Linked DNA regions of Xenopus tropicalis. The protein of the gene in region 3 binds, or shares a complex with, the protein of the main gene of each other region. Links are inferred from orthologs where the notes say so. Each region holds a gene or a part of one and is shown on either strand. Other genes may lie near its edges. The genes, in order: lsm6, prpf31 and txnl4a.

Region 1 (3,758 bases), on a different chromosome or scaffold from region 3:
AGGAATTCAGGTTGCCTTTTACTTTAAGCTTTACCTCGATAATCGACTCCAGAGTTGAGCTTTACAACCACTGGTCTTCCAATAATCTGCTTTAAGAAGTCACTCGGTGTTTGTTTGCGCAGGCTCATTCTAATTCCCTTTCACTGTAAAGAAAGGTTTCAAGACAAAATAATTCTCTTATTGTTATATAGTGCCAACATATTCCTCAGTGCTTTACAGATATTATATATTATTCACATTTTCAGACCAGCATTTTTATATCAGTTGCAGTTGGTCATTATTGTCAGTTTGATGATTTAACAGCACAGATTAGTGCATTAGAACTGGCAAATCTGCACTATGATATGGTATACAAATAGACTGCCGCTTTGGTCCAGAATTCACAGCAAACATTGTGGAGTATAAGTCCTATTTTAAAGAATATAAACTCTACAAACACTAAACTCTAAAAGAAGCAGGCTAGAAATGTTAAACTTTAGTTTTCTATTAAACTATTCCACCAAATTTAACCAACAGCAATGACAATCCATTCGCCTGCAGTTGGTTAGAAATATCTTCGTCTTAACTAGCCTTTAAAAGGAAAGCCAGGAAAGCACTATAAGAGATGTGTTCTAAAAAATCAGAAGACAAAGCAGTTAAAACAGGGTTAAATCACAGCTAACTGGAGGCTCTGTATTCCTCAGTGTCTACAGCAGAATAAGGAGTGGGCACTATTGATGTGCGGGCTGGCCCAATACCTGCAGGTCAGGCCGACCTTGGCACATCACCTGCGGGTCGCGGGTGGGCTTCGGGTTGAGTGCTTCCGGTCAGCCTCCATGACCGAGACCTAACAATGCTGATATTCCGATTCCAGCTTGGGAATTTATAGGTGCGCGCCCGACATGCCCCACCCCTTCGTGATGTCATTGCGGGGAGGGTCGGGAGTAGGTCTATAAATAAAGGGAAGAAGCTGGGTCGGGTAGGGTTGGGAGCAGGCGGGTTAAGATTGGGTATTTCTGTGTTGGTAAAAGTTTCATGTTTGCTTCAGTAAGACTATATAGTTTATATAAATAAGCTGTTGTGTAGCCATGGGGGCAGCCATTCAAGCTAGAAAAAAGGAGAAAAGGCACAGGTTACATAACAGATGCACGCTTTAGAATGGTACAATGGTAATCTACACAATTTATCTGTTATCTGCTATGTAACCTGTGTCTTTTCTTCTTATTTTCAATTTGTACAGCTACCCCCATGGTTACACAGCAGCTTTGTTTATATAAACTATATTCGGGTTTCTGAAGGAAACACACAATGTTTACCAGTGTAGGGCACTAGTACATTATATTTTAATTACTTTTATATGCTTTCATTTTTTGTGTTACTGTTCCGAGGATTTATGTACCGACTCCACAGTCCTCAAATTCCCTGATATATTATTGTATTTATCAAAGGTTTTTATTCAGTGTCTCTTATCATTTCTAAGAAATACTGTGCTTCCTCAGCCTAAACGTTTCCTACTACAGGTATAGGACCAGTTATCCAGAATGCTAGCGACCAAGGGTATTCCGGATAAGGGGTCTTTCTGTAACGTGGATCTTCATACCTTAAGTCTACTTAAAAAAACAATAAAACATTAATTAAACCCAATAGGATTGTTTTGTATCCAATAAGGATTAATTATATCTTAGTTGGGATCAAATACAAGGTACTGTTTTATTATTACAGAGAAAAAGGGAATCAATTTAAAAAATCTGAATTATTTGATTAAAATGGAGTCTATGGGAGAGGGGCTTTCCGTAATTCGGAGCTTTCTGGATAATGGGTCTCCGGATAAAGGATCCCATACCTGTACAAACATATCCACCATGGTGTCTGTCAGCAGTCTGATACAAATGTGACTCATGCTGGTATCAGCCAATTAGAGCAGAGGAAATCTGTCAGTGACAGCCTCAAGCATGTTGGTTACTGCCAGAATAAAATATTAAGTGGAAAAGCTCACTGATAACATAGATATATTAGGGCTTACATACATTAGGGCTAGAGCCCAACACTGACACACTGTAGCTGGGCTTAAACTTACAAATGATTCTAAATCTATAAGTAAGAAGCTCCATCCCTCTGATGTAGCAGGGAGATCTATACAGCCCCTGTGAGAGGAGCTCTCATGTACTTGGCACTGAGCCCCTCTAGTACAGCCTGCTGGTAATCAGTATATTGCTCAGGAATTACAATACCCACCTGCCGGGAGCAATACAAATATGTATCAAGAAAAGGGTGCCTGTAGCAAATCTACTTCGAAACATTATAGCTGAACAATACATAATACAATCCCAATGTAATGCAGCGGCCACACACCTGGGATGAACTACAACTCCCAGAATTCGCTTCGCATAGACACCGCGGGAGCCACACATTTAGGTTAATTATTGTTGTTACCTACTTTTCTCTGAACGTAATGAGCACTAACCATACTAGATGGTGTGCATCAATGCAAATACTACAGGCGGCCATAAGCCACCCTGTAATTCTCACCCTGTATCCCGTGCGATGCCTTTTCTCCCGCCTCTCTCCTTCCTACCCCTTTTTACGGTGTCCGTCTCAGGACAATCCAAAAACAAGCGAAAGCCGTGTGCGCCGTACGGAAGTAAATCGGGTTCCTGAATGAGGCACCGCCTACCGGGGGTCAAAAGGGGACGATGACGTTAACACGGGAAATGATGCGTCCAATCAGGGCGAGAGGCGGCGCTGTGGCTCCTCTGCACCTCTTGTATGTAGTAATGGCTGGGATATCCTGTATGTTTCATGGCTTTGAATCCCTGCACCATGCCATTATAAGTCATTCTAGTAAAGAAACCTCGCCTCCAACTTTAAAAACGTGTTCTGATTCAGCATTACTCTTACTTGCTAAACGTAATACATTTCTTTGAGTTGACGCAAATGTATACGTATTTTTATTTTACATATATTTATTTTTGTATCTATTTTATACAGGCACATGCACTTTACTTATGGTAAGCTACTTTGATTTTCTGAAACTTCCCATATAATCCTTTCTGATTGAAGGGTCAGTTTACTTTAATCAGCCACACAAAATGTCACTAGCATCAAAAATGATTACTAATACTGATAAGCTGTGTGTGGCATGACATTATTCAATTGGAGCCTGGTATTATTCATCTGAAATCTTTACTGATTCATTACCTGCTGTACACCATGTATTTGCAAATATCCTTATTAAAGTGGTGAATGTCATGGCACCTAATGGTCCCTGTACACGGGCCAATTCTAGCAGCTAATCAGCCCGTGTATGGGCACTACCGATGGGCCTGCCCGACCAATATCTGGCCTGAAATTGGGCCAGATATCGATCGGGCAGGTTAAAAAATCTAGTTGGATCGGGGACCGTATCAGCTCGTTGATGCGGTCCCTGGAACGACTTCACCTATACCCGTCTTTATAATGCGATCGTTTGGCCCCAGGGAATTAGCCTGGATTCTCCCCATATCGCCCACACGTAGGTGGGGGATATTGGGAGAAGATCTGCTCGCTTGGCGACATCACCAAGCGAGCGGATCTGAAGGTGTGTGGGCACCTTAAGAAATATATGTGCAGTCACCAAGAGGCCAGTGACTGACACCAAATTGGAAATCCTGCAAATTGTTTATAAGCATGGTGTGGGGGAAGCTCACTCACTCCTCTAAATTGTCACTTTATACCTGTCTTTATTGCTGTTTAGGTCTTCTCTGCTTATAACTATAAACAATTATACAATATTTTTTTTT
Region 2 (3,658 bases), on a different chromosome or scaffold from region 3:
ATTAAGAGAATACAGAACTTACAGACCCCTCCTCAAAATACTTTGGTACATTGCTGCAAAAAACAGTGTAGTAGTAAGAAGTGATCTTTTATAGTGCTTAAGTCCATATGAAAGAGGTCTATATGCACAAATAAGCAATTTGTCAAAACATCGTGAGATAAAAAGTAGGAGGATAAATTCACAACCTGTTTCCAATGTATGCGAGACAGGTCTTGGATACCCAGCAAATGGACTAATGCCTTTAATGGTCAATAAGGATACAGCTTGCAAAAACATGCATTCCTTTTTTTTCAGTTGTTTTTTTTTTTTTTTTGTCCACTGATGTCTCTACTATTGGTTTTTCCACCACCGCATTAAGGGTAGGGGTGCTATTTCCTTGCACTCTGATATTCTATGGAAGCATTTTGCAGCAATAGCAAGTATGTATGGGTTAAGTATGTGCCAGCTTTGTACTCAGATGACACAGATCAGATATCTGCCATAGATTCTCTATTGGATCAATATCCGTTCTTTAACTGAGCGTTGTTTCTCCCTCCCCTCATTACATCCTTCTGCTCTACATTAAATATGCAAAGTTTCTTTTGATGAAAATCAGGCCCACAGCAGGATTCTGCCACCAACAAACTTCACTTTAGGTATGGATCATCTTACAGTTGAGGGCTACATTTGTTGGCAAGTTACTAACTTGTAAAACCTATAGCTAATCTGCCTGGAAGAATGGCTGATGAATGGAACAGTGTACAAAACTGGCACCTACTTACCCACAAACACTTATGGGCAGATGTATCAGAATGTGAGATTAGAACTCACCAGAGAAAAATTCACACACTTTCTCTTCATTCCTATGGGATTTTCGTAAGTGCATCTATCAAGTGGTGAACTTTAACTTTCACCTATTAATCTAAAAATCACATAAAAATGAATAGAAAGTGTCTTAATTTTTCTTTGGTGAGCTCTAATCTCTCATTTTGATAAAATTGCCCCTTAGTGCTTTCTGTGCTGCAAAAAGTGGTTCTAACACATATTAATGTGTGGGGTTTTATTTTTTTCTCTGATATATATTTATAAATGAAAACAAAATTTTTAAAATGATGGAGCAAAATGTCTATATAGTCTGTTATAACCACATTGTGAAATAAATGATGCATTTTTTCAGTTTTCAGAAATCCTTTTAAAGATTGACGGATACATCAAAAAGCAACCAAAGGCTTCTGAAGGTATCATTTAAATCATGGCATTAACTCCAAAATTTCAAGCCAGAGTACCTAAAATATCTTCAAATAATTTTCATGTGGACTGTTAATAACAGAGACAAAGAGTTACCAACCGAAAAGGATTGCAATATAAAGAAACTCACATTGTATTGTGCTGTAGAGTGAAAGGCAGCTGCATGAGTTTGTGTGGCTTTAAGGGAAAGATATTATAATAATTCATGTTTTGGTGTGATGTTAATGGTTATTGAATGGGATGACTTATTCTGCCTCACTCATGCCTGAAATTTGAAATATCCATAACCCTGGTATACAAAACAGATTGATGTGGAGGCTAGACTTTAATTGGTATTTTATATTACATGTTTTATTACACATCTTTTCAAAAAAGTGTTCTTCGTTTTTAAATCTAAACTGCAGTTTTCCCAGTTATTAAAAAAGAGATGAATGATGGCAGACTGCAAATTATTGTATATTGCCAGTTCTTCATATAAAAAGGTATAGTTATAAATTGGCACAGTGGTTAATTTCATTACTTTCTCTATGAACTCATTGGTTTGGCATACTGCTGTGTTTCATTAAAGTGACACAAGTAAGAATTCTGGAAAATATAAGCATATTCAGACTAAATATGCCTGTGTTTGTTTTATGATTAGCTTCCCGAGGAGGCGTTTATGTAAATGAATGAATGCTGTTACTCATCGACCTTCCATTTAGCCCAGTGAAATTAGCAATATATGTGATCTATTGATGTAAACTGGTTCAAACAGCAACATTGCATATAGATTCTCAAACAGAAACAAAGCAAGAATGTAGTTTTGACTGCACTGGTAATTTGAATTTTATTCTGTTTCTATTTTTTTTAGTAATGGGCCCTGTTGAAGCTGCTCCAGAGTACAAAGTTATCGTTGATGCTAACAATCTGACTGTGGAGATTGAAAATGAGCTAAGTAAGTGCATCTGACTGTATTCTCCGTGTTGGTAGAAAGTGCAATGTTTCAATAATCTGAGGTGATGATTTAGTAAAATAAGTGCTACATTTATGTACAACCCTTTTGTATAGGAAACTGCAGATACTATGTTAGAACATCTATAGCACTTGTGTACAGTATATATGGGAGTGTACGCTCTTAAAACCTATATTATATCTTCTTAGATATCATTCACAAATTTATTCGGGACAAATATTCCAAGAGGTTTCCTGAGCTGGAGTCCTTAGTTCCTAATGCTTTGGATTATATAAGGACTGTGAAGGTAGGTGATTTGTGTGCATGAGGATACTAAGTGGTTAGTTTGTGTGTCTTTCAGTAAGGGGGATTGTATTTTGTGCATGTGTGTATATAGTTATGGTATAATGGTGATGTCTGGATACACAGTGTGTAGTATAACAGTATGTAGGAACATACACTGAATAGAGAAGGTAATTTGTATAAAGATTTATTAAGCTGGACCCAAACTTTTCTTAAAATGTTAAATGAAAAATGTATGAACCATAAACATATATGGGGTACATGAAGTGACAATAAACTTAGCATTAGGTGACATCAGTAAACTACTTATGGCACCACTTTATGAACTTTCACATTTATTTTTCTTCAGTTTTTAGGTTAGCTTGGGGCCTAACAAAATCATCAGTATTGTGTGGGTTTCCCCTAGGTACTTTGCTTTCTTTTAATACTGCAAAGACATACAAGGAGGGTAATTGGTTCCTGATAAAATTGACCCTACTATGCCTGAAACTTATAGGGACCTTAGACTGGGACTGATGAGAATGTATATTATCTCTGTAAAGTGCTGCTGAATATGTTTACGCTATATAAATATCAAAAATAATAACATCTTATTTGGGTGTTGTAGGAGCTAGGGAACAATCTGGATAAATGCAAAAACAATGAGAATCTTCAGCAAATTCTGACCAATGCAACTATCATGGTTGTAAGTGTGACAGCCTCCACAACTCAGGGGTAAGTTCATATATCTGTTACTATACTATAACTTTTTCAGTGTTTGGGATGAAAATAAGAAGTAAGTTCCTCTGATCTACACAGGCAGCAATTAACAGATGAAGAACTGGAACGAATTGAAGAAGCGTGTGATATGGCGCTAGAACTCAACCAATCCAAACACAGAATTTATGAGTATGTGGAATCTCGTATGTCATTCATTGCTCCTAACCTCTCCATCATTGTCGGGGCCTCCACTGCTGCCAAGATCATGGGTAAAGTGTCATAGTGTTTGTTTTTATTTTAGCCAAGATTGTTTTATATCTTCACTCTTCTGCACAAAAAAATCTGTTCTGTAAACCATTGGCAGAACTTTAGTAAATAGATAAAATGCTTTTATTTACAGCTTAGGGCACACAATAGCTGCTTCTAAGAGTATTTATTAAAGGAGAAGGAAAAACTAAATTACCAAATATTAGGCACCCCCCCCCCAGTGTAATGGCT
Region 3 (3,758 bases):
ATCGTAAAACACATCAGTATCTGTACTTGGTAGAATAGTCCTTTGGAGATACTACCAGACCTCTGCCTTTTCGTGCTCCCCTGTAAACTGTTTCTACAATATCAATCATTTCTTGCTTGTCTTCCATTGCCCAGTTTATCTTGTTGTTGTTTCCAGTGCCCAAATCAATCATGATGTGCTTATTTCTGGTATAAAAAGAAAATATACATTGCAATGACTGGAAATAAAGAATCTCGTTATAAATATCTAGTTATGCCCCTGATTGTAGGCTGTATGCTTGTATGTACATGTTTTTAAAAATGCGTGCGTAAAGCTACAGCCACAGGGGGCGGATTCTCGGCCTGCGGATAAACACAGGCTAAGAATCAGCCCCTATGCTCCAAACATCCTTTCCATGTGCTGGCACCCAGAGCCACAGCTTCAACCCAGGTGCAGACACATGGAGCAGATTTTAGTGAAAACACAAGCCTGTCACACTGGGGCACACTGCTCACACTAATGGGCAGCACATGCACTCTGCTAATGGCTATAAAGCACTACATTATGGTGCAAAAGGTTTACACGTCAGATTCTCTTGTCTCCTTATTCTTGCAAATGTTTCCTGTAGAATACATTTATAAATAAGCTAATGAGTTTTCTTCTACAGTGGAGAAAATGCTGGTATGGGCCTGCTACCATCCAGAGGGCAGTAACTGACATCCTGGCATTCACCAGTCATTGAACATACAGGGTTGATCTCAACCAAAAAATAAACATTGGCTGGCAAATGTGTATTATTGGCCAATACACCAAATTTGTTTTTATAGATTACCTCCCCAAGGGGTATTGGGTAGTTTAATATCCCAGGTGGGGTGATTCCCTAAAATTCACTTATATGTAACCAACTGTCTCTCTTAGCTTAGAAAGACATTTTATTAGTGCTAATAAATGTTTGTGTCTATACACCAACTGAAACAACTTATTAAAAAATATTAACAAATAGTTATAAATGAAATTACATTTCAGGTTACTGGCATATATACAGACAATAGTCCACTCATATCTGATTGTGAACACAGCATATTCTTTTTCTGATTATATATATGTTAGAAAAGAAACTGCCACACCAATTACCTCTGCAAATGTATTCTGTTTTGTTCTAAGTAAAACAGTACCATATACGTTAAATGGGCTTAGATTAAAAATGACAGTACAACTGAGAATATTCCTAGATAGTTCAATAAATGAAATTACTATGTGTAAAGAAGCAAGCAATCTCACCTGAAGAAAAACATCACTGTACAAGGGTCATACAACTCATACATCTTGTTGAAGTCTGGAACTTCTGTGATATCCACAAGATAAATAACAGCAAAGTTTTTAACCTACAAAACAAAATGGAAGTAGTATATGAATGTATTTAAGTGCAACACACAATATTTCTAGAATAGATTTGCATTAAGTTTTAGCAATAAACATATATCTTATGGAAAAATGTAGTTCTGTTTATCCAGCATGCTTAGTACCGGATGATTTCTGAATAGGGGATCATTTAGTAATTTGGATCACCATACCTTAAAGCAGGGATCCCCAACCTTTTTTACTCGTGAGCCACACTCAAATGTAGTAAGAGTTGGGGAGCAACACAAGCATCATAAAAGTTCATGATGGTGCCAAATCGGGGCTAAGATTGGCTATTTGGTAGCCCCGTTGTGGACTGGCAGCCTAAATGAGGCTCTGTTTGGCAGTACAACTGGTTTTTATGCAACCAAAACTTGCCTCCAAGTGAGGAATTGAAAAATAAGCACCTTCTTTGAGGCCACTGGGAGCAACATCCAAGGGGTTGGGGAGCAACATGTTGCTCACGAACCACTGGTTGGGGATCACTGCCTTAAAGGGACAGCACACTCCCCTTTTCAACATGAGCTCAACAATTAGGGCTTGTGCTGAACAAACTTTTTGCCTATTGTTTTAAATAAGCAATATCTATGGTTTCTGTTATTTCTGGAACTAAACGAGAATATGAAGCCAGTGTCATTTTAATATTTCCTGATCCCACAGAATTTCAGAGGAGCTCATAAAACTCAGTCCACTATTTATCTTAACCTACCTAACCCTTTTTCCTTTCTGTACCCCATTTCTGCTTGAAATAAAGAATATAAAAAACTCAGTCCACTGAGAATCCCCTGTTAATGAGTTACTTAAAAAAGGGAGGGGTTTGTTTGTTCAATGGTAGACAGGGAACAAATTGCCTTTTTATAAAGTAAGTGGGGAGGTAAATACTGTGAAAATAGCCTAAAGGTGGCCATACACGGACCGATTTTTTACTTACAAACGACCGATTCCCGAACGATCCGATGCTATCGTTAAGTTATCGTATAGTTGGTGGTGTACGAACGATCGTCGGCCCACTAAACGAGCCGACATTATCGTCCCCAAAATCGATCGGCCAGGTTTAAAAATTTTGGTCGTTTAACGATAAAATCTGCCAGTTGGTGTGAGTGTCAGACATTTGTCTTTCAACGATTGTTCTCTGCGCATGTCACGATTGCCAGCAACGACATCGATCGTACGTAGATGTACGATCGTAGGTATTTTACGATAATGATGCGACAAAATCTTTCCCGAATTATCGTTGCCCGTGGATGGCATATCGTATGGGAACTCGATCGCCATACGATCGTTTGTCGATATAATCGTTCATCGCACAACGAGCGAAATCGCCTCGTGTATGGCCACCTTAACTTTCAAATTAATGCTTTATAATTACAAAAAAAAGGAAAATGTGAGGTTTTTTTTAATTTAAACAATAAGCAGACTGTAATTTCAACACAAGTCAGTGTTCATTGTTACAGTCAGTCTTACAGTGTTCATTTTAAACTTAAGTGTTTTAGGTGTATACTGTCCCTATAAGTCTACTAAAAATAAATTGAAAAATTAAATAAACCTAATAGGATTGTTTTACCACTAATATGGATCCATGCAGCTTAGTTACCTTAGCTTAGTTAAGTACAAACTACTAATTTATTATTACAGAGAAAAAGGAAACCATTTTAAACAATCACAAATGGGAATATGGGAGATGACCTTTCTGTAATTTGGAGCTATTCTCATAATGGGTCTCTAATAGTGATGTCTGGGTTGAACCCACCCGCAAATGTTTTGCTGAGGTCTGCCCAAACCAGGCCAACCCACAAGTACCGGGTCAGCCTGCACATCACTAGTTCCTAGATAAGGGATCCTTTACCCGCAGCCATATTAAATATACAGACAACCCGCCCTTAAATAGCATAGTTAACAAATCAAGATGCAAAAAAGTAAATAATGCAGTAAAATGAAATGTTTGTTGATTTAAAATTTTGGTGTTACTGATTCTTTAAGGTGTTATGACTTATTTTTTAAGTATTTATTTTTTTTTACATAAAAACAAACAATTTTGTATAGGTTTTTGAAGTTTGTATGTATTATCCAGTAGACAACCCCGATGAATTTTAAATCTGCAAAGCTATATGTTGTTTGTTAAAGGAAAAGTATTTTTTAAGTAAAAAATCTATTCTACCCTGCTCCAATAATTGCCCTATCCTGAACACCGTTTATTATTTTGAATGCTTTATTACAAAATACCTTCCAAAACTTTGCATCCGGTCATTTCAAATACAACGAACTTCCCTCTGCACAATCCACTATGCGACGATCGACATCTCCTCCTTGCCCGACTCCAAAACCGGAAGTCAATGGTTTGCCTGTACAGAAGTAAGGCTAAGAGGAGATGTCGATTA

The links.
Region 1: txnl4a (region 3) and lsm6 share a complex: the UniProt entries of both Homo sapiens proteins name them as parts of the precatalytic spliceosome. The link is inferred for Xenopus tropicalis from reciprocal best matches to the Homo sapiens genes TXNL4A and LSM6.
Region 2: txnl4a (region 3) and prpf31 share a complex: the UniProt entries of both Homo sapiens proteins name them as parts of the U4/U6-U5 tri-snRNP complex. The link is inferred for Xenopus tropicalis from reciprocal best matches to the Homo sapiens genes TXNL4A and PRPF31.

The regions. Positions count from the first base shown.
Region 1 is NC_030677.2:58,334,830-58,338,587, forward strand, and holds the start of lsm6 (U6 snRNA-associated Sm-like protein LSm6), read right to left. Parts: upstream 2,596-3,758; 5' UTR 2,509-2,595; exon of another isoform or gene 2,332-2,508; intron 925-2,331; exon of another isoform or gene 738-924; intron 144-737; 5' UTR 129-143; coding exon 35-128; intron 1-34. UniProt on the Homo sapiens protein: Plays a role in pre-mRNA splicing as component of the U4/U6-U5 tri-snRNP complex that is involved in spliceosome assembly, and as component of the precatalytic spliceosome (spliceosome B complex).
Region 2 is NC_030683.2:104,952,441-104,956,098, reverse strand, and holds part of prpf31 (U4/U6 small nuclear ribonucleoprotein Prp31), read left to right. Parts: intron 1-1,156; coding exon 1,157-1,217; intron 1,218-2,077; coding exon 2,078-2,161; intron 2,162-2,367; coding exon 2,368-2,465; intron 2,466-3,068; coding exon 3,069-3,175; intron 3,176-3,259; coding exon 3,260-3,429; intron 3,430-3,658. UniProt on the Homo sapiens protein: Involved in pre-mRNA splicing as component of the spliceosome. Required for the assembly of the U4/U5/U6 tri-snRNP complex, one of the building blocks of the spliceosome.
Region 3 is NC_030682.2:96,976,892-96,980,649, reverse strand, and holds part of txnl4a (thioredoxin-like protein 4A), read right to left. Parts: intron 1,365-3,758; coding exon 1,261-1,364; intron 186-1,260; coding exon 14-185; 3' UTR 1-13. UniProt on the Homo sapiens protein: Plays a role in pre-mRNA splicing as component of the U5 snRNP and U4/U6-U5 tri-snRNP complexes that are involved in spliceosome assembly, and as component of the precatalytic spliceosome (spliceosome B complex).